Linked DNA regions of Oryctolagus cuniculus. The protein of the gene in region 6 interacts with the protein of the main gene of each other region in a pairwise test. Links are inferred from orthologs where the notes say so. Each region holds a gene or a part of one and is shown on either strand. Other genes may lie near its edges. The genes, in order: MAGED1, KHDRBS3, EFEMP2, BLK, NCK2, CCDC33 and ZGPAT.

The links.
Region 1: the proteins of CCDC33 (region 6) and MAGED1 interact in a two-hybrid assay, tested with the Homo sapiens proteins (2 studies listed by BioGRID and IntAct). The two-hybrid records come from large-scale screens. The link is inferred for Oryctolagus cuniculus from reciprocal best matches to the Homo sapiens genes CCDC33 and MAGED1.
Region 2: the proteins of CCDC33 (region 6) and KHDRBS3 interact in a two-hybrid assay, tested with the Homo sapiens proteins (2 studies listed by BioGRID and IntAct). The link is inferred for Oryctolagus cuniculus from reciprocal best matches to the Homo sapiens genes CCDC33 and KHDRBS3.
Region 3: the proteins of CCDC33 (region 6) and EFEMP2 interact in a two-hybrid assay, tested with the Homo sapiens proteins (2 studies listed by BioGRID). The two-hybrid records come from large-scale screens. The link is inferred for Oryctolagus cuniculus from reciprocal best matches to the Homo sapiens genes CCDC33 and EFEMP2.
Region 4: the proteins of CCDC33 (region 6) and BLK interact in a two-hybrid assay, tested with the Homo sapiens proteins (3 studies listed by BioGRID and IntAct). The two-hybrid records come from large-scale screens. The link is inferred for Oryctolagus cuniculus from reciprocal best matches to the Homo sapiens genes CCDC33 and BLK.
Region 5: the proteins of CCDC33 (region 6) and NCK2 interact in a two-hybrid assay, tested with the Homo sapiens proteins (2 studies listed by BioGRID). The two-hybrid records come from large-scale screens. The link is inferred for Oryctolagus cuniculus from reciprocal best matches to the Homo sapiens genes CCDC33 and NCK2.
Region 7: the proteins of CCDC33 (region 6) and ZGPAT interact in a two-hybrid assay, tested with the Homo sapiens proteins (2 studies listed by BioGRID). The two-hybrid records come from large-scale screens. The link is inferred for Oryctolagus cuniculus from reciprocal best matches to the Homo sapiens genes CCDC33 and ZGPAT.

What each region holds. Positions count from the first base shown.
Region 1 is NC_091453.1:36,245,873-36,249,860, reverse strand, and holds the start of MAGED1 (melanoma-associated antigen D1), read right to left. Parts: upstream 2,801-3,988; 5' UTR 2,764-2,800; intron 1-2,763. UniProt on the Homo sapiens protein: Involved in the apoptotic response after nerve growth factor (NGF) binding in neuronal cells. Inhibits cell cycle progression, and facilitates NGFR-mediated apoptosis. May act as a regulator of the function of DLX family members.
Region 2 is NC_091437.1:161,088,939-161,092,438, forward strand, and holds part of KHDRBS3 (KH domain-containing, RNA-binding, signal transduction-associated protein 3), read left to right. Parts: intron 1-2,903; coding exon 2,904-3,050; intron 3,051-3,500. UniProt on the Homo sapiens protein: RNA-binding protein that plays a role in the regulation of alternative splicing and influences mRNA splice site selection and exon inclusion. Binds preferentially to the 5'-[AU]UAAA-3' motif in vitro.
Region 3 is NC_091432.1:5,896,475-5,900,691, reverse strand, and holds the start of EFEMP2 (EGF-containing fibulin-like extracellular matrix protein 2), read right to left. Parts: upstream 2,801-4,217; 5' UTR 2,629-2,800; intron 2,358-2,628; 5' UTR 2,357-2,357; coding exon 2,246-2,356; intron 2,030-2,245; coding exon 1,981-2,029; intron 1,491-1,980; coding exon 1,284-1,490; intron 836-1,283; coding exon 713-835; intron 414-712; coding exon 297-413; intron 181-296; coding exon 61-180; intron 1-60. UniProt on the Homo sapiens protein: Plays a crucial role in elastic fiber formation in tissue, and in the formation of ultrastructural connections between elastic laminae and smooth muscle cells in the aorta, therefore participates in terminal differentiation and maturation of smooth muscle cell (SMC) and in the mechanical properties and wall integrity maintenance of the aorta.
Region 4 is NC_091433.1:43,007,553-43,011,693, forward strand, and holds the start of BLK (tyrosine-protein kinase Blk), read right to left. Parts: upstream 2,801-4,141; 5' UTR 2,463-2,800; intron 1,816-2,462; exon of another isoform or gene 1,152-1,815; intron 1,053-1,151; exon of another isoform or gene 1-1,052. UniProt on the Homo sapiens protein: Non-receptor tyrosine kinase involved in B-lymphocyte development, differentiation and signaling. B-cell receptor (BCR) signaling requires a tight regulation of several protein tyrosine kinases and phosphatases, and associated coreceptors.
Region 5 is NC_091433.1:102,853,616-102,857,788, forward strand, and holds the start of NCK2 (cytoplasmic protein NCK2), read right to left. Parts: upstream 2,801-4,173; 5' UTR 2,510-2,800; intron 2,152-2,509; exon of another isoform or gene 1,880-2,151; intron 1-1,879. UniProt on the Homo sapiens protein: Adapter protein which associates with tyrosine-phosphorylated growth factor receptors or their cellular substrates. Maintains low levels of EIF2S1 phosphorylation by promoting its dephosphorylation by PP1.
Region 6 is NC_091443.1:109,313,392-109,316,184, forward strand, and holds the end of CCDC33 (coiled-coil domain-containing protein 33), read right to left. Parts: intron 1,350-2,793; coding exon 1,236-1,349; intron 702-1,235; coding exon 588-701; 3' UTR 501-587; downstream 1-500.
Region 7 is NC_091442.1:348,523-352,571, forward strand, and holds the start of ZGPAT (zinc finger CCCH-type with G patch domain-containing protein), read right to left. Parts: upstream 2,801-4,049; 5' UTR 2,396-2,800; coding exon 1,959-2,395; intron 1-1,958. Other genes in the region: ARFRP1 (ADP-ribosylation factor-related protein 1), read left to right, coding at 2,804-2,896, 3,015-3,102, 3,470-3,552, 3,923-3,989. UniProt on the Homo sapiens protein: Transcription repressor that specifically binds the 5'-GGAG[GA]A[GA]A-3' consensus sequence. Represses transcription by recruiting the chromatin multiprotein complex NuRD to target promoters.

The DNA.
Region 1 (3,988 bases), on a different chromosome or scaffold from region 6:
GATTTCTGCTTGTTTAAATCTTTATTAAAAATGGGTAGAGTCATATTTCATGGCTCCTAATATTTATCAATTAGCATGTAATTCAAGTACATGATACTCCTATCTATGACAGGAAGTTTCCAAAAACTGGAGTTTCTGCACACAGATTATGTCTTATAAAACAATAAAATAGTCTGTATATTTTTCTATTTCTCATTAACAGAGAGATAGAGAGAACCTGACCAGGACTAAGTGTTTGATGGACTTTAAATGCATGAAATATAGCAGTTTAGCAAGTTATTCCAGACCTCTGGGTCTTGGTTTTATCATCAGCAAAATGACAACAATGACTAATGACCTTAGAGAGTAATTGTGAACATTAGTGGAGAAACTATATTTAAAAGTTTGTCTCTTACTGACAAGCACTGGATTAATTTCAAATTACCACACCAAACATTTATGGGCAAAATATTATGAACACACAGTGGTAATAGCAGTCAAAAAGATAGGTAAATATTACTATAGAATAGCACACAATGCACCAGGAATAAACAAACTGGGGGTGAGGTGGGGCTAGAGATATAGATACAGCCTCCTTCCTAAAGGGACTGTTAAGTGGCAATTCATCTCAATGGTAGCAAGAAGCTAGCCAGGTGGCAGAGAATACAGGGAATTGCGATGGATTGAGTTATCTGAGTTGGTAGTGTTGAATTAAAGTTATGCAGCAAAGTGGCCACTAGAGGACCACAGGGATGGCAAAAGAGATGTAGGAAGCAGAGTGAATGACAAATGAGAGATCATAGCATGAAAGTATTTTTTTCCAATAATAATCTGCATAATTTGCATCCTCATTTCCTTCAGGTCTGTACTGAACTGCCACTCTACCAGAGAGAGCTCCCTGACCATCTTATCTAAAACAGTACAGCTCGCCCCCATCACAATTTATTTTATAGAAGTGGTGCCTTGAAAAAGTTCCTGGAAAAGGAAATTAAAAGATAATGCCTATTTCTGTGAACTTTTTGAAGATCTCTGCATTCATTTATTGCCTCTCAGCTATAACATCTACTTTTGTTTTGTACTGTTGTATTCCCAGTTCTGAGAACACTGTCTGACATATAAGCTATTCAGCACACACACACACACACAAAATCAAATGGGTGGGTGCACAGTGGGTTGAAAACAGTGTGAAAGACATATAAATGTTGCATAATAATATGAGTAAAGAGACATTTGCTAATACCGTTTTAAAAAGTTCCTGAGTGTTCTGCTGTCATGAAATCCACCTCATTTGTTTATTCTATCTAAATGAACTGAAATTCTGCCCTAGAAAAGGGAGTCATCGCTCATTCTGTCAAACACAACACATGAGTTACAGGAGGAGGAAGAAGTTAACTGCTTATTCAAGGGGAACTGTGGTTAAATTCTTCATAAAGCCTGACAAAAACCTTGTCCTTACCACAAATTTAATGATCATATGGGTAAAGAAAAGCGAATAAATTCAGTTGATATTCTTCCAAGATAAATTTTGCATAACACATGGAACAGAAAAATACACCTCACATTTCAAGACACGAAAAGACAAAGTTCCCATTGCAACAGGCAGACTATATAAAAATCGTAAAGTGAGCCTAGGAAACCATCTTTAAAAAAAATCTGCCAGCTTTACTGTTCAATGTTGCCCCTAGAGACCAGAAAAGGATTTGTATAATAAAGTTAACTCCTGAAGTAATAAATTGAGGATTGGACCTCAAGCCTGTCAATCACTTCTCCTCTAAGAATGGTTTTACAGGAGATGGGAAAGCTTCCATCTCTAAAGCTGACACCAACGTATACGCAAAACCCATTATGTTTGCTCCTCCAAAACTCTGGGAGTTCTGTCTGCCAACATTTAAAAAAAAACTACAATCAATCAGTCAATCAATACAAACACTTAGAGGGTTGAAACCAGTGCAATAATAACTAAATGGCGCATAATTTTGTTGAGAGAAATAAATAAATAGACAGACATAATTTGAACAAGTCCCGATGCCTTCTTCAGGCTCTACAATTTCTGCTTCTTTGCTTTTCTTTTTTTTTTTTTTTTAAGAACAAGAAAAGCAAACTCAACGTTTAAGACATACTTGCTTTTGGAAAATGTATAACGCAATGGCCTCTGCAGGGGAGAGACAGTAAAAGACCGAAAGCCAGCAAAGGGAGTAAAATACGAGTCTTCAAAAAGTTCGTGGAAAATGCGTATTATGGGGGGAAAGAAACCTACGAATCAAATTTGTGTACCAAAATAACTGCATCTTTTAATTTCATATTCCTGGAACTTTCTTAAGTTCCCTTCATTCTGGGATGGAAAGAGAAGGAAGGAAGAATGTCCGCTGAGAGAATAGGAAGGGGCTCGCCAAGGGTCTGGGGCTAAAAGGGCGCGGGGCGGAAGTTGCGGATTAGTGGAAGAGAGAGATTTGTGGGACAGGGAACAACCAGAAATACCGGAGAAAAGGATCCGGGATAAAGAGGGGATGTGAAGCATGACCAGAAGTCGGGAGGATAAAAGAACCACGAATGTCAGAAGCAAGGGTGGGGGCAGGGGGCGGGTGCCGGCCTCCCTTCCCCTGAGGAGGAGGAGAGGAGATGGTGAAGCGATCAGAACCACAGGCGTCAGAAGCATCCTTCACACGCTGTACTCTGAGAATGAATACACCTTGTTTCCACCTCATGCTGAGGCCAGAAGCAACGTTTCCCCGAAGGGAGCAGGATTTATTTGTGAGAATTATCAGTCCCCTTCTTTACACTCACCTTGACGAAGAAGGCAGCGACGATGGCGTGACCGGAAGTGCTTTCCTCTTTTGTTTGGCGGAAGCTTTGGCTTCTGCCGCTGCCACCCCCATTCCCTTCCCTCCAGGCAACTTCCTGTGCCTCTCTAGCAAGCGCTGGGATGCTTTATCTCATTAGCTCCCAGATGAGAAGTTGGATAATGATATAAAGGGCCCAGGACAGGGAATCAGTAAATTTCTGCAAATTCTGACTCTAATCATTTCAGAAACTACAGTATCTCTACCAAATCCCACTTGTTCAGTTCGTCGTGTTGTCTTAGAAATAGACTCCTTTACCTTACTCCTTTAATTCAGACTTCATTATCAATGTCTTGGATGTATACAGTTACATATTTAACCATACTGATTTACTATTTTCTGGGGCAGCAATTTGGAAAATTGGAAAATTTAGAAAATTTATTTTTATCAGCTTTTTAAAAAATAATAAGTATTTGGGGCCGGTACTGTGGCATAGCAGGTTAAAAACCCTGGCCGAAAGCACCGGCATCCCATATGGGCACCAGTTCGAGTCCCGGTTGCTCCACTTCTGATACAACTCTCTGCTGTGGCCTGGGAAAGCAGTAGAAGATGGCCCAAGTCCTTGGGCTCCTGCACCCGCATGGGAGACCCGGAGGAAACTCCTGGCTTCTGGCTTCAGATGGGCTCAGCTCTGACCGTTGCGGCCATTTGGGGAGTGAACCAGCGGAGGGAAGACCTCTTTCTCTCTCTCTGCCTCTGCCTCTGCCTCTCTCTGTAACTCTCTTTCAAATAAATAAAATAAAAATTTTTTTGAATAATATGTATTTGTTTTCATCTGAAAGGGAGTGAAAGTTCTTTCATTCTTAGATGCCCACAGCAATCCATCCCAGCTATACTAGGTGAAAGTCAGGATCCAAAGGAATTCCATCCAAATCTCAGGGATCCAAGTACTTGAGCCATCACATGCTGCCTCACAAGCTGTGTACCAATAGAAAATTGGATCAGAAGCAGAGGTGCGACTTGAACCCAGACCTTCCATTCAGGATGCCAGTGTCCCAAGGAGTGTCCACACCTCCCAGCCACAACTTCTGCCCCTTATTAGCTTTTGTAAAAAATATGATTACTGAATTTTGTCACAGAGTGGTATCCAGAGAATTAGCATATTCAAATTTCTAAATAAAAGTGGACTCATTCAGAAAGCACTCTATTATGTCTATCCTCGTAGGAAT
Region 2 (3,500 bases), on a different chromosome or scaffold from region 6:
TCAAATGATGGCACTTGATTCCTTTACTCATTTAATATTGCAGAAGAAAATGGAAGCATATATAAGTCAGTTGATTAGAAGTGTGTATCTTGCATGGAATTATTCCACTTTTGCTGCTATCTTAATCCAGTTTTAATTTTAAGGCCATATGGTAGTAGACTTCATGATGTGAGCAGTGAAACCCAAGGATAGGAACCCATTTACTTACTTATTTTGTTTGTTATTCAGGGAGTTCCTTGGTCAGAAGACTGTTTTGTGGCGTAGAGTACTGGTGATCAGGGCATTCATGAGCAATTCTCAAGTGGAAAGGAAGCGAGGCAGGCAGATCTATCTAAGTTATATGTCCAGGTGATAACAGATGCTCGGCTATCCATAAAAGGGCTCCGTGGTCCTTCCAAGTTGTATTGTCATATCAAGGGCTTGTGGTTGTTTTCTGTTGTTGGCATACCAGGCACTCAGCAGAATTAGTAGCTAGACATCTTTTGTAGGGGATTCTGTGTTGTGCAGTATCATGTAGCTTCTGTCCTTCTTTCCATGATCATTTTGTTTATGAGCGCCTTGAGTAGCACTGAACTGGCTGGGGAGTGAGATACCCTAACACTAGCAACAATGGGTTTCTACCTGATCATTGAGGACCTACTCCACATTTGCTTGGGTCACCCTGGTTTTACACACTTGGGCCTCTTTCTGAACCAGTTATCACTAACTCAGTAATCCTTTCATTTCTATGTTTTCTTCCCATTTGGTACAGTAAATCACTGTGGAGATTTTGTAAGTAGCTGATGATATATGTTCCATCAAGCCACCCAGGAACAGGACGAATAGCATTCAGTGTGAATTTATAATCTGATGAACTCACTATCAGTGGATGAGGACCAATATCTTTTTACCCCATAAGCCACACTCTGATTGGTGGCCCTCCATGGATTGGCATTAGGTCAGAGTTAATTCTTTTACAGGTTAAATATCCTTAATCTGGAAATCTGAAAGTGCTTCTAAAATGGAATTTTTTCAAAGATATATTGTGTATTTACTTATTTATTTATTTGATAGAAAAAGGAAAGGATCTTCCATCAGATAGTACACTCCCAAAATTCTCGCACCAGCCTGGGCTAGGTAAGACTAAGTCAGGAACCCAGAATTACATCTGGCTCTTCTATCATCTATTGCCTCCCAGGCACATTAGCAGAAAGCTGGATTAGAAGGGGAATAACTAAACTGGCATTCCCATATTGGAGTCAGTATCTGAAGGAGTAGCTTTACCTCCTGAGCCACAATGCCCACCATCTTAAAATTTGAAACTTTCTGAGCCCTGATTCAATGCCAGAAATGCAATGTTCTGTACTTGGCCTTATGGGGTGGGTCTCAGTCACAACACAGGCACACTGAAAACATTAAAGCCTTTAGACTGTATGTATAAGGTATATATGAAACATGCATGAATTTCTATTCCAAGTTGGGTCCCATCACCAAGATAGGTCATTATGTATAAAGAGATATACTAAAATGTGAAAAATTCTGAAATTCAAAATATTTCTGTTCACAAGATTTTGGATAAGGGATATTCAACCTGTAACTCTCTGTATAGGTGTTTAGCCTCATTGAAAGTCACTCTCATAAAAGGTGCCATATGTTTCTTGAGGAGACTCGGAGGTAGTGTCATACAGTGGTAAATGTTACAGGTTAGGTATGCATGCTGCCTTCTTCCCTAGATTCAGTTTGCTTCTCTTATTCTTTGTATCCCTGAAACAAACAGATGTCTGACATAAGGAAGAGGAGTTAGAAAGTATGAAGGTGTCTTCTCCTTTCAAAGAATTGTCTCTGCTGTTCAAGCAACATAGGAAAAGCATCACCATATGGTACAGGCTTCTGCCAGTGTGGAAGACTCCATCGGGTTTCCACTTTTGGATGATCAGAGTTATTTGAATCATCCCAAATATTACCAGTACAGTCCTCTGGTTTCTTTGTTAGCTAGACATTACTCTACAACTCAAATAAGAGAGAGTTTGGATATTCAGCAGTACACACATTTTAACTCTGCATCTGTCTTTTGGTTCCATCAGCCTGTGTTTACTACAGTAGAAGCTTCTAGGATACTTCAGGCTCTTTGTGCCTTGAACTGATAACTTAAAACCATGAGTCTGTCATTTCATTCTTTAAACTCTTGATTACCATAAGAAACAGCCCATTTCACTCCAGTCCACTAGTTGTGTTGTCTTCTTGTCCCCGGAACTGTGCTGTTGCCTCTACCACTGGAAGCCTCTCACTGAAGTTGACCACAGCTGATGATTGAAGTAACAACTTTGCTACTTAGGTAGATATTACCGATGACTGTATTGTCATCATATCTTCATTACATGAACTCTAAAGTATTAACTTCTGTTGATTGTTTTCACAAATTCTCAGTTAATATGTTTATGTTTAGCCATTACTTACTATTAAAATCTCATTCTAAAGAGATCTCATTCTTAGGTTCTCGGTGTGTTTACTATTTAATGTGAACTCAGTTCACTTTCTTCTAGTTGCTACATTGATGAAATTAGTGGAATCATGACGTGCATCAGCTACATATACAGCATAATAATCATGATACTTCTGTGGTCTATTAAACCATCAACAACTGGAGAGGTTTAAGGAAGGGAGTCAGGAAGAGGTGAAGGAGCAGGCAATATTGAGTCCGTGATCCTTATGGGCAGTGTCCTGAGTGGAGACTTTATCCTAGTATCAATGGGAAGCCTTTGGAGTATTTGTAAATACCTACAGTGGAAAGATCCGATTTACCATTTACTTCTTCCTCAGGGTAATATATGCTGTTCAGTAAACAGATAAGCTTTGGGTAGTTTTTGTTGTCTGTCTTCTTTCATAATGTCAGATTTTTAAATATGATTTTTTTCTTTCTCCAGGAAGAAGAGTTGAGGAAAAGTGGAGAAGCAAAGTACTTCCACCTCAATGATGATCTCCATGTGCTCATTGAAGTGTTTGCCCCACCAGCGGAAGCTTATGCCCGCATGGGACATGCTTTGGAAGAAATCAAAAAGTTCCTCATCCCTGTTAGTCCTATATTTATTCATAGCTCACTTGACCTTTAAAATACTTATTTTGCTTTAGGCCTTGACAATAATTGTAATTTGCATAGATCTTTATTTGTAGTAGACGTTACAGCATCCCTGTAAATTATTTGACATTATTCCTTTTTCTTATATGAGAGGGTGGAGTTTGGAGAGATTAAATACTGCTACGAAATTTACATGGCTGAAACATTTGCAGCAGCACAATCTGTTATTCATATTTTTGAACTCCAAGTTGTACACTTTTATGTGAGACTGAAAACACGTCCAAAACTGATTGATGTCCAACATAAACACATCATTGCCTTCTGCAGTCAAGCCCTGTGCGTGGTGTTGACCACACAAACAGGAAAAATTAATACCTAACATCGAGGAATATATAGTTTAGGGGAAAAGAAACATCAACAGATTACTTAGTGCAGCATGGTAAAT
Region 3 (4,217 bases), on a different chromosome or scaffold from region 6:
GGACGGGACGTGGGGGCACCCTGGCCGCCGCTGGGGGAGCCCGCGCAGGGCTGAGCTCACCGCTGCAGGAGAAGCCGTCGCGGTGCAGCTCGTAGCCCTGGTGGCAGCGACACAGGAAGGTCCCGTAGGAGTTGAAGCAGCGCTGCTCACACGGGGCGCCCATGTCGCACTCGTTCACATCTGGGGGTGCCGGGACAAAAGCAGAGGGGCAGTCTGGGCTGGCCGCCAAGGGCGCTCCCCCAGCTCATACCTCCCAGCCCCGGGGGCCCCAGGAGCCCGGCCTGGCCCAGCCTCACCCACACAGGAGCGGTTGTTGGGCCCCAGCTGGAAGCCCGGTTCGCACTGGCAGCGGAAAGAGCCGGGCAGGTTCACACAGCGGTGCTGGCAGTAGCGGTAGCGGCACTCGTCAACGTCTGCGACGGCGGCGGGGAGGGAGGCCGCGGAAGGCGCCAGTCAGTGGGGCCCCCACTCGAGGCCTCACTGCCCACAGACCCGGATGTCTCTGGGCAGCTGGACGGGGCCAGCCAGCCAGAGGACGCACGCACGCACAGGCACACACACACACACACATGCGCATGCGCACACACACGGTGTCCATGCAGTCCTCTGTGTCTGATGGCAGGAAGGCAGAGGGGGCCGGGGGCTGGGGTGACGCCCGGGGGTGGGCTGGAGTTGGGGGCTCAGGAACAGACAGGCTGCTGGCCGCACTCACCCACACACTCCGGCCCGATCTTGCGGTAGCCATCCGGGCAGGTGCACTCGTACGAGCCAGGCAGGTTGTGGCAGTCCTGGCTGGGCCGACAGTCGTGCAAGGCCTGCGCACACTCGTCCACATCTGCAGCAGACACCCCTGAGCCTCCGCCTGGGGTCGCTCACGCCATCCGGCGAGGCAGGCACCCAGCGTGGGAGGACGCAGTCCAGAAGCCACCACGAGGGCACAGGAGACCCCTCCCACCCGCCCACCAGCCTGGGAGGCAGCAGGAGACAAGGCTCTGTCCACACCCTCAGCCCCCAGCGACCCTGATCCCAGGACACCCCCCGCCAGGGCCCGCGGCTTCCAGGGGTGCAGTCCAGATCAAGGCTCCTGCAGGGTCTCTGCAGCACGTGAGGGGAGGGTCCCCTGGGACTGGCCCCGGACACAGCGAGGGCCTGGATGAGGGGCCGGGCAGCCCCTGGTGGCCCCCAGGAGCCATCAGTAAGGGCTTGGAGCAACGCAAGAACGCGAGCCCAAGTTGCGAGAAGCGTGGCGACAGCATGGGACGCCCGGGCCCAGAGGGACTCACCCACGCAGCTCTCCTGTTCGTCGGGCTCATAGCCTGGCGGGCAGGAGTTGGGGTGCTGAGCGGGGGGCACAGGCGGCGGGGGGCCCTCGCCGTGCAGGTCGTTGATGACGGAAGCGGAGCGCGGCAGACACAGGTAGCCCCCGTAGTGATTGATGCACTTCATCTCGCCCTTGCAGGCCTCGGGGATGGTCAGGCACTCATTCACATCTGCGGGAGGCGGCCTGCTCGGCACAGCCGGTCCCGGGAGGGGGGCCGGCCCCGGGCGGGGCGGGGGGGGCGAGGCAGGAGCCCGCTTGGCCCTCCCTGAGCTCCACAAGCTGAGGCAGCCTGGTGTACCCAGGACCCCTCCCCTCCACACGGCCCCGCCACAGGCTGGAAGTGGGGAAGGGGTTGCCACTGCTGCCCCCACGCTGCCTCCAAGGGGGTCCTGGCCCTGGCTCAGCCGGGCAGTGATCTGCAGCCCCCCCCCCCCCCGTGGACACCGCCCTCCCAGGTTGCGATGGGGCAAAGCCTTCCATGGGACCAGCTGCTCCGGGGCTCCCCCAGTGGCTCTCCCATCTACCCCGGGGGGGGGGGACAGGGTTACCGGGGTTCTTGGAGAGGGAGGGGCCGCCCTGCCCTGCTGGGCTGGGTAGAGCACAGGCCCCCTGGGCTCTGGTCCCTGCTCCTGGGGGGCTGGTCCCCCTGTCACACTCACCCCGGCAGTGCTGGCTGTCTGGGTCCCACTCATAGCCATCGGTGCATTCCTGGAAGGAAACCGGAGGCTGCAGTGGTCACCCAGGGTCCCCTCCAACTGGCCAGGCCAATAGCAGGGCCTGAGCCTGGGCCACCCTCCCAGTCTGTTCCAAACAACGGCCCCCAGCTGCTCTACCGGCCGGGCTGGGGGGGCGAATCTCCCCCAAGAACAGCCTCCGGGGACCCTGGTCTCCCAGTGGTAGGCCACCCGCCCCCGCTGTCCCCACCGTGTAGCTGTCCGGTTCCTCGGAGTCCTGCGGTGACGCTGCCCCCAAGAGCAGCAGCAGCAGCGCCCAGAGCAGCAGAGACCCAGGGAGGCAGGAGGCGAAGGGGAGCATCCTGCGGCCGGGAGGGGGCGGGCGGGTCAGGGGCCTCTGCCACGGCCGCCCCATCCCCCCGCACCGGGCCCCGGCCCCGCCAGCTCCGGCTCAGGTCCGAGCCTGGGGCCCTGCAGCCCCGCAGGACCCGGGGCCCACTCGTTTCGTAGGCCCGGGTTCCGGGCCCACTCCGCCCCCGCCCGGTTCCCTGGCGGTGCGGGCCTCTCGGCCCGGCGGCCGCCGACTCTGCCGAGACTCCGGCCCGCGCCCCCCTCCCACGGGCCGCCACTCACTCGGCCGCGACGCCCCCGCGGCTCCGGCGGCTCCAACAGTGCCTGCGGGCGGACGGACGGGCGGACGGCGCAGCTCCCTGGACGCGCGGCCCCAGGAAGCGCCCCCCGCCCGCCCGCCCGCCGCGGTGCGGCCCACCCCGGCGCCTCCGCCCGCCCTTCGGCGGATTCCTGAGCCCGCGCCAGGGGGAGGGACCCCGACCCCCCGCTTCTCCGCCCCCGGCCGGCGGCCGCAGGCCCCCGCCCGGTCCCCCGCGGCGCCTCCCGGAGCCGCCTCCCGGCGCCGGGCCAGGGTCCCCCAGCGCTCGATCGTGGTGCCATGGACCTGGATGCCAAGCCCCCAGACTCACTCGGGGGGGGGGGCAGGCCCTCATCAGAAACGTCATCCCGCGCACCTGGCTGCTACCTACGCGCGCAGAATTCCTTTCTGCGCACCCACTGCTCAGTCCCGCACCCCCAGACCCTCATTCTGAGCCTCCCCGAAGGTAGGATCCGAGGCCCCACCCAGCCCTGGGGCCTCCATCCCCTCACTCGACCCCCCCAGAATTGTATTCTGTGCCCCCAGACCGTCACTCCAGACGTCCCCAAAACTTCACCCCGGGCCCCCGACCCTCGCCCCGGCACGAGACGCTCCCGGGTCCCGGGAGCAGAGCTGCCCATCTCTCCCTTCTACCCCCCCCCCCGCCCCGCCATCTCCCGCCAGGTGGTCCCTGCGCTCCTGCACGGCCTCCCCCGCCCCCGCGCTCAGCCCTCCAAGCCGAGGTCGGGGGCGGGGGCGCAGGTCCCTTTTGGCCCCAAATGAATGGCAGGCCCCCGCGAAGCAGGGACAGGGTGCACTCGGGGGCCAGGGACGCCAGGCTCCGGTGCCAACGCCTTCGCGACCCTCCTCTCGCCCGCGCCCCCCACTCGGCTTCCGACCCCTCCCCCAGCGGAGGGCGTGGCCGGGGCGGAGCCCGGGAGGGTTCGACTCCCAGGAAGGGGCGGGGCTTCGCGCTGCCCACGTCTCAGGGCTGGGCCAGACGGGAAAGGGCCGCGTGTGCAGGGCTCCCGGCACCCCGCAGGCTGCGAGAGGGAACAGTCGGGTCTTCCCGTCCCTTCCCCATCCCTGCTTGACCCCCCGATCGCCCCCAACTGACCCGGTGGGGCTCAGGCTGATGCATTCCTACCACCTGCCCAGGGGCTGGGGCAAGAAAGCCCGAAGTCCGAATTCTTGAAAACCAAGCGTTCACGAGTGTTGGCGAGGGTGCGGAGAACTCGCAGCCCTCCTAGGCTGCAGCTGCTAACATCATCCGGCTGTGTCCCCAGATGTTACCAGGCAGGTTCGCTCCCAGGTATGCGCCCGGGAGACTAGACGGGCGACAGGTACACACCCGCCCCGGGAGACCGGACGGGCGAAAGGTACACACCCGCCCCTCCCCAGAGACTGGACGGGCGACAGCTACTCACCGAAAGTCTGCTCATAGCAGCACCGCGCTGCGGGCTTCAGAGCGCTGGAATGTAGCAGCAACCCCACCAGGGTCAGTCAACCAGTGGGTAGCACACCCCCACGTGGAGGGTTGTCCAGGCGTGAGCAGGAACCCAGCCCGACACAG
Region 4 (4,141 bases), on a different chromosome or scaffold from region 6:
CCCACTGGGCCACGGGCGCAGATGAGTGTTATGTTTTTAAGCTTTTAAAATTGGGATATTTTTAGGTTCGTAGGAAAAATGTCACAAAGGCAGTACAGAGAATTCTCACGCAGGCGCCAGTCAGCTTCCCCCCAGGCTCACCTGTGTCCGTGGTGCCTGAACTAAGGGGTGAACTCTGGTACTTTAACATTAATGTCCCTCTGGGCTTCCTGTGGGCGTCAGCTGGCGTCCACTGTCGGTGTTGTTCTGGATCTAGGGAGTGCGTTCTGGATTCAGTTGTCACACCTCCCAGCCTCTTCCGATCTGTGGCAGTTGCTGTGTCTTCCCTTGCTTTTGGTGATCTTGACGGTTTTGAAGGTGAAACGTTTGCAGAACAGCCCTTAGTGTGAATTTGTCTGTCTTCTCATGATAAGACTGGGGCCGTGTGGCGTGGGGGAAGAATCGTCTGAGTGCAGAAGCTCACAGTAAGGGCATAGCTTGGTGCTGTTTACCGAGCTCTGCAGGTTTCTCCAATGGAGAGTTACCATTTCCCCTTTCCTAGTTCTAAGTCCAAGCCGCAGTCAGAATGAGCGCCACCCCCTGGGGGTAGGAGGGTCTACATATAACAGAGAGCTCTTGGTAGCACAGAACAGTTCTTTTGAGTTCCATGGTAATGTGGATGGAGGAGGGTGAGATCAATGGCCCATTACCGAATGGATGAGAAAGTTGCCAAAGTCCTAGCATTTTAACAAAATCCCCACAAACTGTGTTATCAACTGCTCTTTCCTGTTAACAGTTGGTCTTTTTTTTTTTCCAGGTTTCAAATGTGTCTTTTATTCACTATTTCTGATGCCTATAAATAAGTGTTTCCACTATGAAAAAGGAAGTTATTAGCACAGTACATGTTCATGACTGGGGAATGGACTGCTCCAGTCGGCTTCGAGAGGGCCAAAAACTGAAAAAATAAAACCACCTGAATGTTGAATTCAGTTGTTTTTGTTTTGTTTTTTGCAAGGGACTTTATATAATTACAACAAACCGAAAAAGAGGTGCAGGGCTTTAAAACACACACACACACAAAAACGAAAGAGGCAGAGGCAGAGGGACGGGACGGGACAGGACGGCAGGGCAGGGCAGGGCAGGGCAGGGCAGGGCAGGGCAGGGCGAGGCGCTCAGTGCTGCTCCCCGGCGGCCTCCGGGGCCTGCTCCGCGGGCTCCTCGCACTCCCCCTGCACGGACAGAGACTGGAGCTTCTCGGCCACCTTCTCGGCGCTGTCGTTTGTGCCGGTTCCTTTCTTTTCTCGCTCTCCAATCTCTTCCCTGCATTCTTCGAACTTTGTTTTGAATTTCTGCGCATTCTCAGCATTGAGGAAACGGATGGCCAGCAGCTCCAGCTTGGGGCACTCGTCGGCGAAATCGGCGTGGGTGTTCCAGACCCAGGCGCGGTCGCTGCCTGCGTTCGGCTTCTACTCCATCGTTGGCGTGATGTAGCGGTTGGCGCAGATCTTCAGGGTCTTGTCTCTCCTCCTGAGCAGGCGGATAGCCCCCTTCTCCATGTGCTTCAGGAGCTTCAAGTCGCCCGTGCCGCGCTCCTTCCACCCCGGGAGGTCGTTCTCCGAGGTGAATCAGAAGAGCTTGGCCCGCATTTTAAAAAGTTCCTCCTCATCTTCCTCCAGCGTCTTGATTTCTTGCTCGGGAAGAGAGACTATTGGCTCAAACTGGGGGTCGTGGTTGGACTCGTCCGCGTTCTCCGTGGAGGTGTCGTGGTCCTCGTGACTGTCCTTGGTGGCCGCCCTGGGGCGCGGCGGCGGCTCGGCTGGCTCCGCGGCCTCTGGGCGCTGGGTCTGAGCTCTTTCCCTCCGTGTCTGGCGCCGGCGCCTCCCGCCTTCACTCCGCCCGGCGACCCGAACCCCGACCCCTGACCCCAGCGGCTGGAAACACCAGCAGTTGGTCTTCTTGACAAAACAGATCTCTTCACCAAAAAGATCATCCTAAGCCTTTTCTCCCAACCCACCAGCACATGCCTGACAAATGGAACAGCCTCATTCAGAAACAAACAAAAACAAAGGCGGAGCCAGCCAGCATCGCCCGCCCCTGCCACCCTCTCTCAGCTCTGTACTCTCGCAAGCAGGTGGACGCACTTGCCCTCAGCTCGGCAGCCGGGCTGTGTGTGCCACCCATGTCCTTTCCTCCCCCTGCCCATAGGCACTGCCTTCCCCAGCTTAGAGACCATAAGACACAGAAACTACCCGGATCAATAAAATTTTACAAGTAAAAAAAAAAAAAAAACCACCTCTAAAGTAGAAATGAGCAAACAGCTGGGCAATCTACCCATAGCTGTGGCACAGATCATGTTAATTCCCTCTCTCTCCATCAATAACACTGGAGCAATATCCCTGCCCACTCCTCCAAATATAGGCCTTGGAGCACCGTGCAATGTACAGAAACGAGATAGCCGAGAGCCGGAAGGCACAGAGACTTACCCTGCCAACGCGTCAGTGGTTTCTCACCATTGCTGTTCAAATCGCAGTGCCTTTAAGGTGGTACAGCCTCCTGTCTCCAGCCGGAAACTCACCAGGCGATCCTAAAGAAAAAGTCCATGCCCAGATGAATTGTTCTCATCCCTGTCGGCGGCGTGGGGACCTCATGGCTTCCTGGTGGCAGCCTCCCCAGGCTGTGATCGGAGCTCAGCCGGCCGCCCCCAAGGGGCAACCTCAACAAGAGCCCCGCCCCTCCTGCCTCGCGCCCTGGAGGCTGCTGTGGGCTGGCTGCACCCTGAGGAACCCTCTGTCCCAGCAAGGACCACGAGCAGCTGCGCTTCCCCCCCGGCCCTGGGCCACACTGGTCGCAGTGCCCTCTGCCACCAGAAAGTTTTCTCATGGGGTTTTGGTTTGACAACATGGCGGAGTTTTTTTTTTTTTTTTTTTTTTTTCTCTGCACTGAGTTCACAAACCTCCAATCCGTGTATTCTATGAGGTGTTTTGCTCTGCCTCACAGACAAGGGCTTGGGCTCCACGTTGTGGCACCTGCGTGAGCCACAGCACCTGTTCTCTCAGCCTTGTTGACTTGGTTTTGTCTTTTAAATGATGCTAATAATAGCTGGCTCACAGGATGCTGTGAACATTGAATAATGGCAGATGGGGTGAGAGTGGCAGGCCCCAAATTTGGTGCTCAATAAATGTTATTTCCCCCATGATTTATTTATTTATTTAGTAATCAGCAGACCATTCTGACTCAGAGCTTCACTCGAACAATGAAAATTCAAGGGAACACTGGGAGTGGGGGGGGGGTCCCAACATAGAGAGTGGTGAGGACTGGCCTGCACTAGAGCAGTCCAGGGACCAGTGAGCCCAAGAAGGCTGCTGAAACGACCTCAAGAGACTTGCTTCATAGTCCTGCAGCCAGGGAGACCCCCTGGCCAGCTGCTCCCTATCTGTGTCCAAGGAAGCTGGTTTGGGGGATTCTTGTTCTCCCTTTAGGTCTGGAGTCCTGGAGGTGGGGTGTGGGAGTCAGGCGGGCCAGCTTCTACAAAGCAGTCCACAGTGTCTGTTTCCTCTGGAGTTTCTGTCCCTGGAAGTTAGGGATAGGATGATACTCACTGTCAGTTACAGAGAGGAGAGAGTCTCTCTAAAGAGGCTCAGAGCAGTGGCAGCCGCAGTGACACTGTGGAAACAATGGGCTTCATTTCCCCAAAGGGCTTTAGGGGGAAAACGAGAGCATTCATGCATCACACGTTTCTGTTACAGTATTTAGGGCATGGTGAACCCCAGATGGCCAAGCCCCAAATCTGAATCATAAAATGGCTTCATCTTCTTCCATACTTGGCAGCAGTGGGCTCAGAACAGCGTCCAGTGTGCCAGGTGTGGTCAGTACAAGTAGCTGTTTGTAGTTTATTATCCCATTGGCTTCCTCACATCCAGTTGTTGCGCTCAACCATTAAACACAAGTTACAAGAGTTCCAGACTCCTTCAACTTCTGCTGTAAAGGTTGATGGCTTGAGATGAGACAACTCAGTCTTACTATTTCAGTTCAGTCCCATCTGGGGGACCCAGTCCAGAAAACAGACAATGACCATGGGGCAGATGGGGGCAGCTACAGAAGCCCAGCAATGCACAGTGTTAGACAGAGGTGGGAGCAGTGACCCCGTCAGGAATGGTTGGGA
Region 5 (4,173 bases), on a different chromosome or scaffold from region 6:
GCAGAGGTTGAGAACATGACAAGGGTCCAACAGCCTGCAATGAAGGTTTAAGTCCCCAGCATGTTACTCAAAGCCTGAAAACTGACCAAGCTACTGGAAATGCACCTTCCACCCATGCCTCTATTTACAAAGGGTCAGTTTCTCTCAACTGGGCCAAGAAGATTACAATGCAGCCAATTTTGCCAAGTCAGTTTCACCCGCCTGTCAGGACCGCTGGCAGTGTTTACACAGCAGCTGAGACTCCCTGAACCCAGAGGAGCAAACCCAGCACTGCCTAAAGCTGCCATCTCACCCTCCGGTGGCCACCACAAGGCCACCAAGACCCTGCCACTCTCCTCGTGTCAAGGAGAGAGCTACTCAGGCAGGACCTGCCCCTGTGGTCACTTCTTCTCAAGCGGGGAGACCGCCCCTCCTCAGGAAAGCCCTCCTGCGAACATCCATGCACCTGCACCCCCCCTCCTGGACCTCGGCCCCGGTGCTCTCTGCCTGCCACTCTTCACATAAACCACACACACGCTGGGAGCCTTTATCTGGGCACAGGTGGTGAGTGCACTAAGGGCGTGTTCTGAGGCACAGCTCAGATCTGGTTTGATAAGTTAAGGCAGCCCGGGTTAATTTCATTTTCCGCCACTTTCAAGACTTGGGGGAAAAAAATAACTCTGTAGGTAACTTAATCAAAAACAGCAGCAGGAAACACAGCCCCCGATTGGTTCTCACGGCTACACAAAAACCCTTCCCGAACTGCCAGGACTGGGGCGGGCCAGGAAGGGACTCCCTACCTGTGGGTCCCCAGAAAGCCACGCCCACCAGCCCCTCCCCCTGGGTTCGGTCTCTCCCTGGGTCAGTGCAAGGAGCAGGCCTGGGTAATGGTGTAGGCCCTTCCGGACGCGACTGGGGCCCACTCACCCCATGATGCCCATGCAAACTTGGCACAAAGCCTCAAACCTGTTGGCCAAATAAGGGAGGCACTGCCACCCCCGCCCCTGCTTTGTCCTGAGGAGGCTGACTTAGCCAGGTGCCTGCTGGCCACCAGCCAGTGACCCCCCAGCCTCCGCCCACAGCCGGTCCCAGGCGATCGGCATTGTCCACAAAGTACAGCGTTATCCCACACAATGCGAAGCCCACACGGCGCCCACGCGGCAGCCGTCGTGGATGCTTTCAGAGTCACACAGGACGTTTTTCCAGGACCCCCTGGCGGTTCCATCGCCCGGAACGCAGAGCGACCGGGAGAAACTTTGGTACAAGTGGCTGGCTCCAAGGGTGCCCTGAAAATCCGCGGCAGGGCGCAGACCCTGAAACCCGCACAAAAGCGCCCAGCGCCGGGCCGTCGACCCTCCCTTACGCGACGTGACAGCAGCTTTGTGTGGGATCAGAAATAGTTGCAATCAACACACAGTTAAGTTCTCCGGGTGCATCGTGACCCCCCGCGTCCCTGCGACCCGGAGATTCCTCCCCCGGCGACCGCGGCCGCCGCTCGGTCCCACGCCGACCCCGGCCCCGGCCCCGTGCCTGCCGCCGTCCGTCCCGCAGGCCGGGCACTCCCTGCGCACCGGAGGTGTCCAGTCCCCGGGCCCCGCCGCCCGGCCCCTGCCCAGCTCCTCGCCCGCGCGCCCTTGGAGGGCGCCCCTGCCCCCAAGCCGGCCTCTGGGGGTAGGGTGGGGGGCCCGGAAGGCGGGCAGGAAGGTGCGGAGCCTGGAGGTGCCGAGCAGTCCACAGCCGGTGGGGAGGGCGCCCAGGCCGCAGCGGGGGCGAGGGCACCGGCGGAGCGCGGAGGGGCCCCACTCCCCCAGCCCCTCCCTGGGCGCGTCCCGGCCCGCGGGCCCCGCCGCGCTTCCAACTCCGCCGAATGGGCCCCCAAGTTTGCGGCGCACACACTTACCTCGCCACGGGCCGCCCACCGAGGCCGGAGGGCAGCGGCGCGGGTCCCGGGGCGGCGGCGGCCGCGCTGCGCCCGCCCAAGCGCCGCTCTTTGTCTGCGCCGCTCCCGCGTCTTGCCGCCGGGCGGACCCCGCCGGCCTGGGCGCCGCGAGCCTCCCCGCCGCTCGCCGCCCGTTCGGCCGCGCGGCTCCGGCCTGAAGCTCCCGGAGGCGGCGGCGGAGGCGGCGGCGGCGGCGACCCTCCCCCGGCGCGCAACGCCCGCCTCCTCCGCTCTCTTCCTCGTCCGCCCGCGCTCCTCCCCGGCCGCGCCGTGACGCCGCCCAGGGGCCGGCCCAGGCCCCGCGCGCGCACGGGGCGGGGGCCCGACACCCACCTGGGGGCGCCCCCGGGCTCCGCCGAGCTCCGCGGCCCGGCCCCGGAACGCGCCCGGCTTAGCCCGGGGCTGGAGAACGCTGCGCTGCGGGGCGCCGCGGGGCCCTGCGGGGCGCCGAGCGCTAGGCTAGGTCCCCGCGCCCGCACTTGCGGGGGCGGGGTGGGGACGACCGTAAAAATGCAGGCATTAACTTCCAGCCCCGGAGGCCGGCCGGGTGGGCTTCGCGTGCTCTTTTTGTTGTTTGTTTAATTCTCTTACCGCCACGCGCGAGTTGGAGAGGAGACCGCGCCCCCCCCTCCCGGAAGCATTCCCACGGCGCGCTCAGCGCAGCAGGCCTGTGGTCCATCAGAAAAGTGACTTCCAGCAAAATGTCACTTCCTCCCTGTGATTGCTTGCGGGCATTTTTATTTTTATTTGGCTTGCGTCTATTTACTTTCCCAACCAGACACGTTTTTAGTCCATTCGTCCCTGGCGGAGGCGCTTCCTAAGGGGAGGAGCGGAACTCCGACCTCTGATGCCTCCCAGGCACGCAAGCCCGCTCCAGCCGCCGGGAGTCGGGTTGCACAGCCCCGGGAGCAGAGCCCAATCAGGAGCCGCCTGCCCCTGGGCCCCTGCGGGTACCGTGAGGGGTGGGCCCGACCGGCTCACCCAGCCTCACCCCGCCTGGAGTTGTGTGGCCCAGTAAACAAACTTGGAAGCTGGAAACCCGAGAGCAGAGGCAGAGACCGGAGAGCTCCCCTTCCGGATGCGTCCAGATGTCTTTTCTCCAAACTCCTTCTCCCCGTGGTTTCCCAGAGGAAACCCTAATGTTCCAAGGATTCCAAAGCCCTGGTGGGATCGCCTGCATCCGTGTCAGTGAGATGCTTTCTTTGGCTCCTGGCTTCTGATCTTCAGGAAAACAGTAATGTTTCACCCAAGGAGGCAAGGCAACATTCTTTGATTGACTCCCTCCCCCAAAGCACCCAAGAATGGGTAAGTAGAGTCCCCGGAGCTCCGTCATCAGTGGCCTGCTGGACTGTGGACTTCTGACCTGTGTAACCTCACACAGGGATTTCTTGACTTTTCTCAAGTCTGTGAAATGGGGAGATAATATCTACCTACCTCCAACAGTACCAGGGACACGCCTTGGCGACAGGTCACCCTTGAATAGCTCAGTATGTGGAAGGAGGTACACTACCTTGAGCAGAGATCAAGTTCAAGATCTGGGACTCAGGACAGCCTCCTGTTTGACTCTGGGAAAGAAGCTACCAAAGCTCATCCTTTAGTGCAAGTCTCATCTTAGGAGTGAGGAAAGCAGAATTTTAGTCCATAGTCGGCCCAAATTTCAATGGGCTTACTCCAAATACGTAGAGCAATATTGACCCTTGTTTGCTTTGTAAAATCTCAGTCATGGTTCTCCTCTTCCTCCTCTGATTCTTTGAAAAACTCACTGATGCCACTCTCTAAACCTTAATCCTACAGGGTCTGCTGAAGCACGTGGCATTTCTACCTCCTGAAACTCCATCATCTTTCCATTGATCTTAGATGATTGATTTTGGTCCTATTGCCTTCTGGCCCGCCCATATTTTCTCCTTATAGGAGGTCTGTTGTCTTCCTTCCTCGATTCCCAAAGCAATCAAGGTTTTAGTCTGATGTGTCCTTTTTTTTTTTTAGTTAACCACCCGCCTGAACTTTAAGAAGAAATTATTTAGTTTTTGTTTGAAAGGCAGAGGGACAGAGAGATAGCCTCCATCTGCTGGTCCACTCCCCGGATGCTTGCAACAGCCAGGGCTGGGCTAGGAACTGGGATCCTATCCAGGCCTCCCACGTGGGTGGCAGCAACCCAAACACCAGAGCCATCATCTGTAGCTTCCCAGGGTCCACATTAGCACTAAGCTGGAATCAAATTAGAGGAACTGGGACTCAAACCAGGTGCTCCCACA
Region 6 (2,793 bases):
GGAAGGCCCCGCCCCACCAGTGAGGGGAGTCACGGCTGTCGGTTCATCTCTGGCCCCACCCCGCTCCTCTTCCCCACTCTGCCCCTTCCTCGCCCTCATCAGGACAATAAACGGCCGAACCGCACGGAGGGTCTTCCTTCCCCTGGAGCCCCTGGGGTGTTTGTCACCCAGTACAGAAGCCTCAGGGGCTCAGGCACCCACTTAGAGGCCCTCTCCGTGGAGACCTGCCTGCTGCTGGCAGCTCAGGAGCCAGCAGGGGGCTGGGGGCCAGGCAGAGCGTGTGTGTGGGGGTGCAGCTTCCCTGTGCCCGGGCAGCCAACAGAGGTGCAGGTGGAGCCCGGCTGTGGGAGCAGGGAGCCCGGCGCTGTGGGCTAGTCCTGCCCGCCTGGTGCGCCCACCTGGCTAGATGGAGACATAGCTCCTTGGCCGGCCCTGCTGCTAGCCCCGGGAGGCGGAGGCTGGCCCAAGGCCACGCCGCTCTAGGAAACGGGCCGACGCTCTTGGTGCTCCAATGTTTAATGAAGTCACAGGGTGGGCTGGGGCCGCGGGGAGACCCCCAGGACAGCGGGGGAGGCCTGCTCTGGAGCTCAGGTCTGCTGGGGGTCCGCGGGCTTGCCGAGCTTCGTGTCCGAGCCTGGCGGCAGGGGCTCCAGATCCGAGGGACGCTCGAGGTCCTTGGCGGGGGTCGAGGCTTTCCATGGCTGCAAGGCGAGGGGGGTGAGCGCCCCGTGTCCCGGGTGGGCCGGCCACAGCAGGCCTCCCAGGATCCAAAACCCAGGGGGCCAGCAGGTGCCCCCCACGGTGCCCAGGGGCGTCCCCTGTCGGTCCCCTAGTCCTTTGTGAGCCTCCCTCCCAACCCAGCCACCACGCCTCCGTACGTGAGCAGAGAGTGGACAGGCCGAGCGTGGGGGTTCTTGGGGAGACAGTGGCTGTGCCGTCTCCTGAGAAGGAGCCTGTGCCATCCCAGGCTGGGGGCCACAAGCTACCCATGGGGTGCAGGAAGCACCCGGCGTCTCCTGGTCACCTCCTCCAGGTGTCTCCTGGCCACCGCAAGGCCAGGGCGGCCTCGAAGGGTCTTCTCCGCTCAGCAGGGGCAGGAATGGGGCCAGAGCAAGGGTGGTGGGGACACAGCAGGACCCAGAGCCCAGGAGCGGCTCCGCCCAGTCTGTCTCAGTGACTTAAGGGGTGGGGTGGCTCCCAGCCCCAGCAGCTGCTCCCACGGAGGGGCCACTCACGGGGGCGTCTATGATGATGGAGTTTGAGGGGCGCCCAAAGCCGTGTTCCTGCTCCTGCAGGCGCATGGCCAAGTCCTGCTTCTCCCGCCCCCAGCGCCGAGCCGAGTCCTCCAACTGCGGGCACAGAGGGGGACAACTGGTGGGCAGTGGGCAGCAGGGCCTGTCCCTGAAAGCCAGGACAAGCAGGCCCGGGGGAAAGCAAAGCTCTGGGGAGTATGGCCTTGATCTTCCCATGACCCCAGGAGCAGCAGGGGAGGGGAGGGGGCCACCCAGTGAGACAATGCAGAGGGACCTCCCTGCATTCCTGCAGCGTGCTGAGCCCTGATCCTGGTCCCACACTGAGCCCCGACCCTGGTCACACCATGATTCTAGATCCTGGTCTCACACTGAGCCCTGATCCTGGACACCCCCTGAGCCCTGATCCTGGTCCCACACTGAGCCCCGACCCTGGTCAGACCGTGATCCTAGATCCTGGTCCCACACTGAGCCCTGATCCTGGTCCCACACTGAGCCCTGATCCTGGCCCCACACTGAGCCCTGACCCTGGACACCCCCTGAGCCCTGATCCTGGTCCCACACTGAGCCCTGACCCTGGCCCCACACTCAGCCCTGACCCTGGTCCCACACTGAGCCCTGACCTTGGTCCCACACTTGGTCCTGACCCTGGTCACCCCTTGAGTCCTGATCCTGGCCCCACACTGAGCCCTGATCCTGGACACACACTGAGCCCTGACCCTGGCCCCACACTGAGCCCTGATCCTGGCCCCACACTCAGCCCTGACCCTGGTCCCACACTGAGCCCTGACCTTGGTCCCACACTTGGTCCTGACCCTGGTCACCCCTTGAGTCCTGACCCTGGCCCCACACTGAGCCCTGATCCTGGCCCCACACTGAGCCCTGACCTTGGCCCCACACTGAGCCCTGATCCTGGACACCCCCTGAGCCCTGATCCTGGTCCCACACTGAGCCCTGACCCTGGTGCACACTGAGCCCTGACCCTGGACACACACTGAGCCCTGACCCTGGCCCCACACTGAGCCCTGATCCTGGACACACTGAGCCCTGATCCTGGTCCCACATTGAGCCCTGACCCTGGCCCCACACTGAGCCTGTCCCTTGACACACACTGAGCCCTGACCCTGGCCCCACACTGAGCCCTGACCTTGGTCCCACACTGAGCCCTGACCCTGGCCCCACACTGAGCCCTGACCTTGGTCCCACACTGAGCCCTGACCCTGGTCCCACACTGAGCCCTGACCCTGGCCCCACACTGAGCCCTGATCCTGGACACCCCTTGAGCCCTGATTCTGGACCCACACTGAGCCCTGATCCTGGTCCCACCACTGAGCCCTGATCCTGGTCCCACACTGAGCCCTGACCCTGGTCCCACACTGAGCCCTGATCCTGGTCCCACCACTGAGCCCTGACCCTGACCCCACACTGAGCCCTGACCCTGGCCCCACACTGAGCCCTGATCCTGGACACACCCTGAGCCCTGATCCTGGTCCCACACTGAGCCCTGACCCTGGACACCCCCTGAGCCCTGATCCCGGTCCCA
Region 7 (4,049 bases), on a different chromosome or scaffold from region 6:
ACTCTGAGAAGACAGAGCCATCAAAACCGTCAGAACCAGGGCCGGCGCCGTGGCGCAGCGGGTAAAGCCACCGCCTGCAGGGCCAGCGTCCCACGGGGGCGCCAGTCCGAGTCCCGGCTGCTCCACTTCCCATCCAGCTCCCCCGTGAACGATTCTTTCTAAAAATGTATTTATTCGAGAGGACAGACTTTACTGGTTCATCTCCCAGATGCCCACGACGGCCAGGACGAGGCCAGGCCAGGGCCAGGAACTCCATCTGGGGACCCAACGGCCGGAGCCCTCCCTGCTGCCTCCCAAGGCCCACAGTAGCAGGAGCTGCAGGCGGCACTGCAGGGGGACGTGGGGTCCCAACAGCCCCCCACTCCAGTCGAACGCCCGTGCGTGGGCTGGAATGGAGCTCTGATGCACGCCACACGGTAATGGGCCCTGAAACCAGGGCTAAGTGAAGTAAGCCACAGAAAAAGGCGGGGTGACAGGCAGATCCCACTGTGACGTGTGGAGACACGGCCGATCAGAGACAGCAGGGGCTGGCCGGGCCGGGAGCTACGGCAACACCAAGCGGGGGCTGGTGCTGTGGCCGAGGGTGAAGCTGCCGCCTGTGGCGCTGGCGCCCTACTGCAGTGTGGCTTCCACTCCAGCTCCCTGGTCACGCGCCTCGGAAGGAAGCAGACGATGGTCAAGTGCTGGGGCACCCCGGCTCCAGTCCTGGCTCCAGCCTGGTCCAGCACAGCCCAGTCCTGGCTCTGGCTTGGTCCAGCCTGCCTGTGGAGGCCCCCTGAGGAGTGAACCAGTGGGTGGGAGATCTCTGTCTCTCCCTCTGTCACTCTGCCTTTCAAATAAATAAATAAATTTTTTGAATTTGGTGTGGCCTTGTGGGGAGTGAGTCAGCGGATGGAAGATCTTCGTCACTTTGTCTTTCAAATAAATCGATCTAAAAAAGACAAGGAGTGCTGAGCCAGGGCGCGGGCGAGCCTGGGGAGCCCGGCCAGCGGCCACTGCTGGAGGGGCGGCTATTTCCCGGCCAGCTGGTCAGGGAGTCCATCTGGTCACACAGCGTCTGACCTCACAGCCCGGCACAGCGCCCAGTTCCGTCGAGGGAGGGGGTCTGAGACAGTTTTTTGGCCGTCCTCGCCAGACACAGGGGAAACAGAGTCCAACCCGGGCCCCCGCAGCTCCCGGTCAGGCAAGGTCACTGCCGCCAGGGCTCGGCCGGGCAAAGCTCTCCCTGGAGGCGGGGACAGAACAGAGAGGCAGCATCCACAGGGCTGAACACACCGCCCACGCGACACACGCGGGGACGCCTCCAGCAAGAGCAGGCGCACCAACGGCAGAGGGGGCAGACTGCAGGGGACCCACGCAGCGGGAGCCCAGCCCGTTTTGTTTCTGTTGTCTTAAAAGTCCAGGAAAACAACTTTGCAACCCTAGCCGTGCTGGGGCAGGTGTATGTAACCCGCTCTGCAAGTCTTCAGAACGGCCGGGCCGCCTCGGCCAGCAGCGCCCGGCGCCTGCTGCCCCCTCCAGCGGAGCGGCGGGGACGGAGCCCCGAGACCCCGGGCAGGAGAGCCCAGCCGCCCCGCCTGCACGCTACAGCAAGACTCCAGGGAGGAAGCAAGGAGGGGAGACGCGGGAGACGTGCCGGCAAGGCTGGGCCCCGCGTCGTGGCCGCCCCGCCCCCTTCTCCAGCCCTGGCCGCTGCGGCCATCTGGGGAGTGACCAGCGGATGGATGACCTCCAAGTCGTTCAAGTGAACGAATACTTTTACAAAGTCGGGAAGGGAACGCAGGGGCGCGAGACTGGCAGAGCCAGGGCAGCGGGGGAGGTCACGGCGCCGCCCCTGCTCTGCGCACGCGGGGGGACCCCCGCAGGAAGGTACGCTCCACGTCTTCCCGCGGAGCCGGCGGCTGGGCCGCACCGGCTCCGGCCTCCCGCAGACGCGCCCGGGGGTTCCCGCGCCTCACCTGCAGCGCTCCGTGAAGCGGCACCTGCCCTCCAGGAAGAACGGGCAGGGCTTGAGCGCCGCGCGCGTGGGGCACAGGCAGAGCACGCGCACGCGCGCCGCGCCGCCGCGCGCCTCCTCCGTGCCCACCACCATGGCGTTGTGGTACTCGGCCGAGCCCCAGGCGCTGTAGAAGGGGGCGTTCACCTTGGTCCCGCTCAGCTCCTCGGCGGGCGCGGGCGCGGGCGCGGGGCCCGCAGCGGCGGCCGGGGCCGGGGGCTCAGGCGGGGCGCCGGGCCCGTCGGACGCCAGGCCGGCCTCGGTGAGCTCGATGAGCTCCCGCAGGTCCCGCTGCAGCTGGCGCAGGTCGGCCTCCTCGGGCGAGTCCCGGCCGGCGCCCAGGGCGCGCTCCACCTGCTGCAGCTGCGCGCGGTACGTCTGCAGGGCCGCCTCGTCCATGCCGCGGGCCGCGCGGCGCCGGGGGCGCCCTCCGCCGCGTCCGCCCGGGCCGGCCTCCTCCGCGCGGCCCCCGGGCCCCCACCACAGCCGCCCGGCGCCCCTTCCGCCCTCGCCGCCGCTGCCGCCGGCACTTCCGCTCCGCGCCGGAAGTGCCGGGCGCGCGGGGGCCGCCGGGACGCGTCCCGTCAGGCGCCGCGCGGGGTCGGCGCGGGGTCGGCGGGGCCCGGCGCTCGGCTGCTCCGCGCGTCTGGCGGGCGCAGGTAGGCTGCGGGCCCGGGGGCCGTGCGGCCGGGACGCGGGGCGGCGGGAGCCGAGGCCCGTGCGGGAGCCGCCCCCGGGCCCGCCTCGAGCCTGGCGGGGCGGGGCGCGGGCCCGACGGCCGTGACGTGTCTCGGTGTCCAGGGCAGGATGTACACGCTGCTGTCCGGCCTGTACAAGTACATGTTCCAGAAAGACGAGTACTGCATCCTGATCCTGGGGCTGGACAATGCCGGCAAGACGGTAGGTGCCCGGCCGCGGCCCGGAGCGCTGGGCTGGGGCCAGGCCCCGCCCCCTGAGCGGCAGCGGCTCGCGGCCCTGCCTGCACTGGCCCCCGACGCCGCCTGCCCTGTCTCCCCAGACCTTCCTGGAGCAGTCGAAGACCCGGTTTAGCAAGAACTACAAGGGGATGAGCCTGAGCAAGATCACCACCACCGTGGGCCTCAACAGTAAGGCGGGGCCTCTGGCGCGGGTGGAGCCCTGAGCCTGCTGTGACGGCCACGGCCCAGCAGCTGGCCACCGCAGCCCGGCCTGACTGCTGCTGACCCCGGGGCCGCCCTGACCGATGGTGACCCCAGACCCTGCCCTGCCCTCCTCTGCTGACCCCCAGGGCCTGCCCCGACTGATGGTGACCCCCAGACCCCGCCCTGACCGATGGTGACCCCAGACCCCGCCCTGACCGATGGTGACCCCAGGGCCTGCCCTGCCCTCAGCCGCTGACTTCCCAGCAGCGCCAGTGGGTTGTTGGTCCCCCAGGAGCTCTGGCACGTGTGTGTCCAGGGGCAAGGTCACGAGCCTTTCCTGTTCTCTGTCCAGTCGGCACCGTGGACGTGGGGAAAGCTCGCCTCATGTTCTGGGACCTGGGCGGCCAGGAGGAGCTGCAGTCCTTATGGGACAAGGTAAGACGGCCCTGCGCTGCCCCGCCCATGCCATGCTGCCCCGCCCACACCGCGCTGCCCCGCCCATGCCATGCTGCCCCGCCCACACCCACACCGCGCTGCCCCGCCCATGCTGCGCTGCTCCACCCACAAGGCACTGCCCCGCCCATGCCATGCTGCCCCGCCCACACCCATGCTGCGCTGCTCCACCCACAAGGCACTGCCCCGCCCATGCTGCGCTGCTCCACCCACAAGGCACTGCCCCGCCCATGCCATGCTGCCCCGCCCACACCGCGCTGCCCGCCCACACCGCGCTGCCCGCCCTGCCCGTGGTCCCTGCTGTCCCTGCTCCTGTCGGTTCCCGAGTTGCGCCACCTCTTGTCTCACTCAGCCCCTTCCCGGAGTGGCCCCAGAAGTGGTGGTGGAGCGTTCCCCCGGGGCAGCGGGCAGGCGTCCAGGTGCGCAGTGAGGAGAGGGTGCGGCTCATCTGAGGGTTTAAGGAGTTCGGTCCAGGGCCA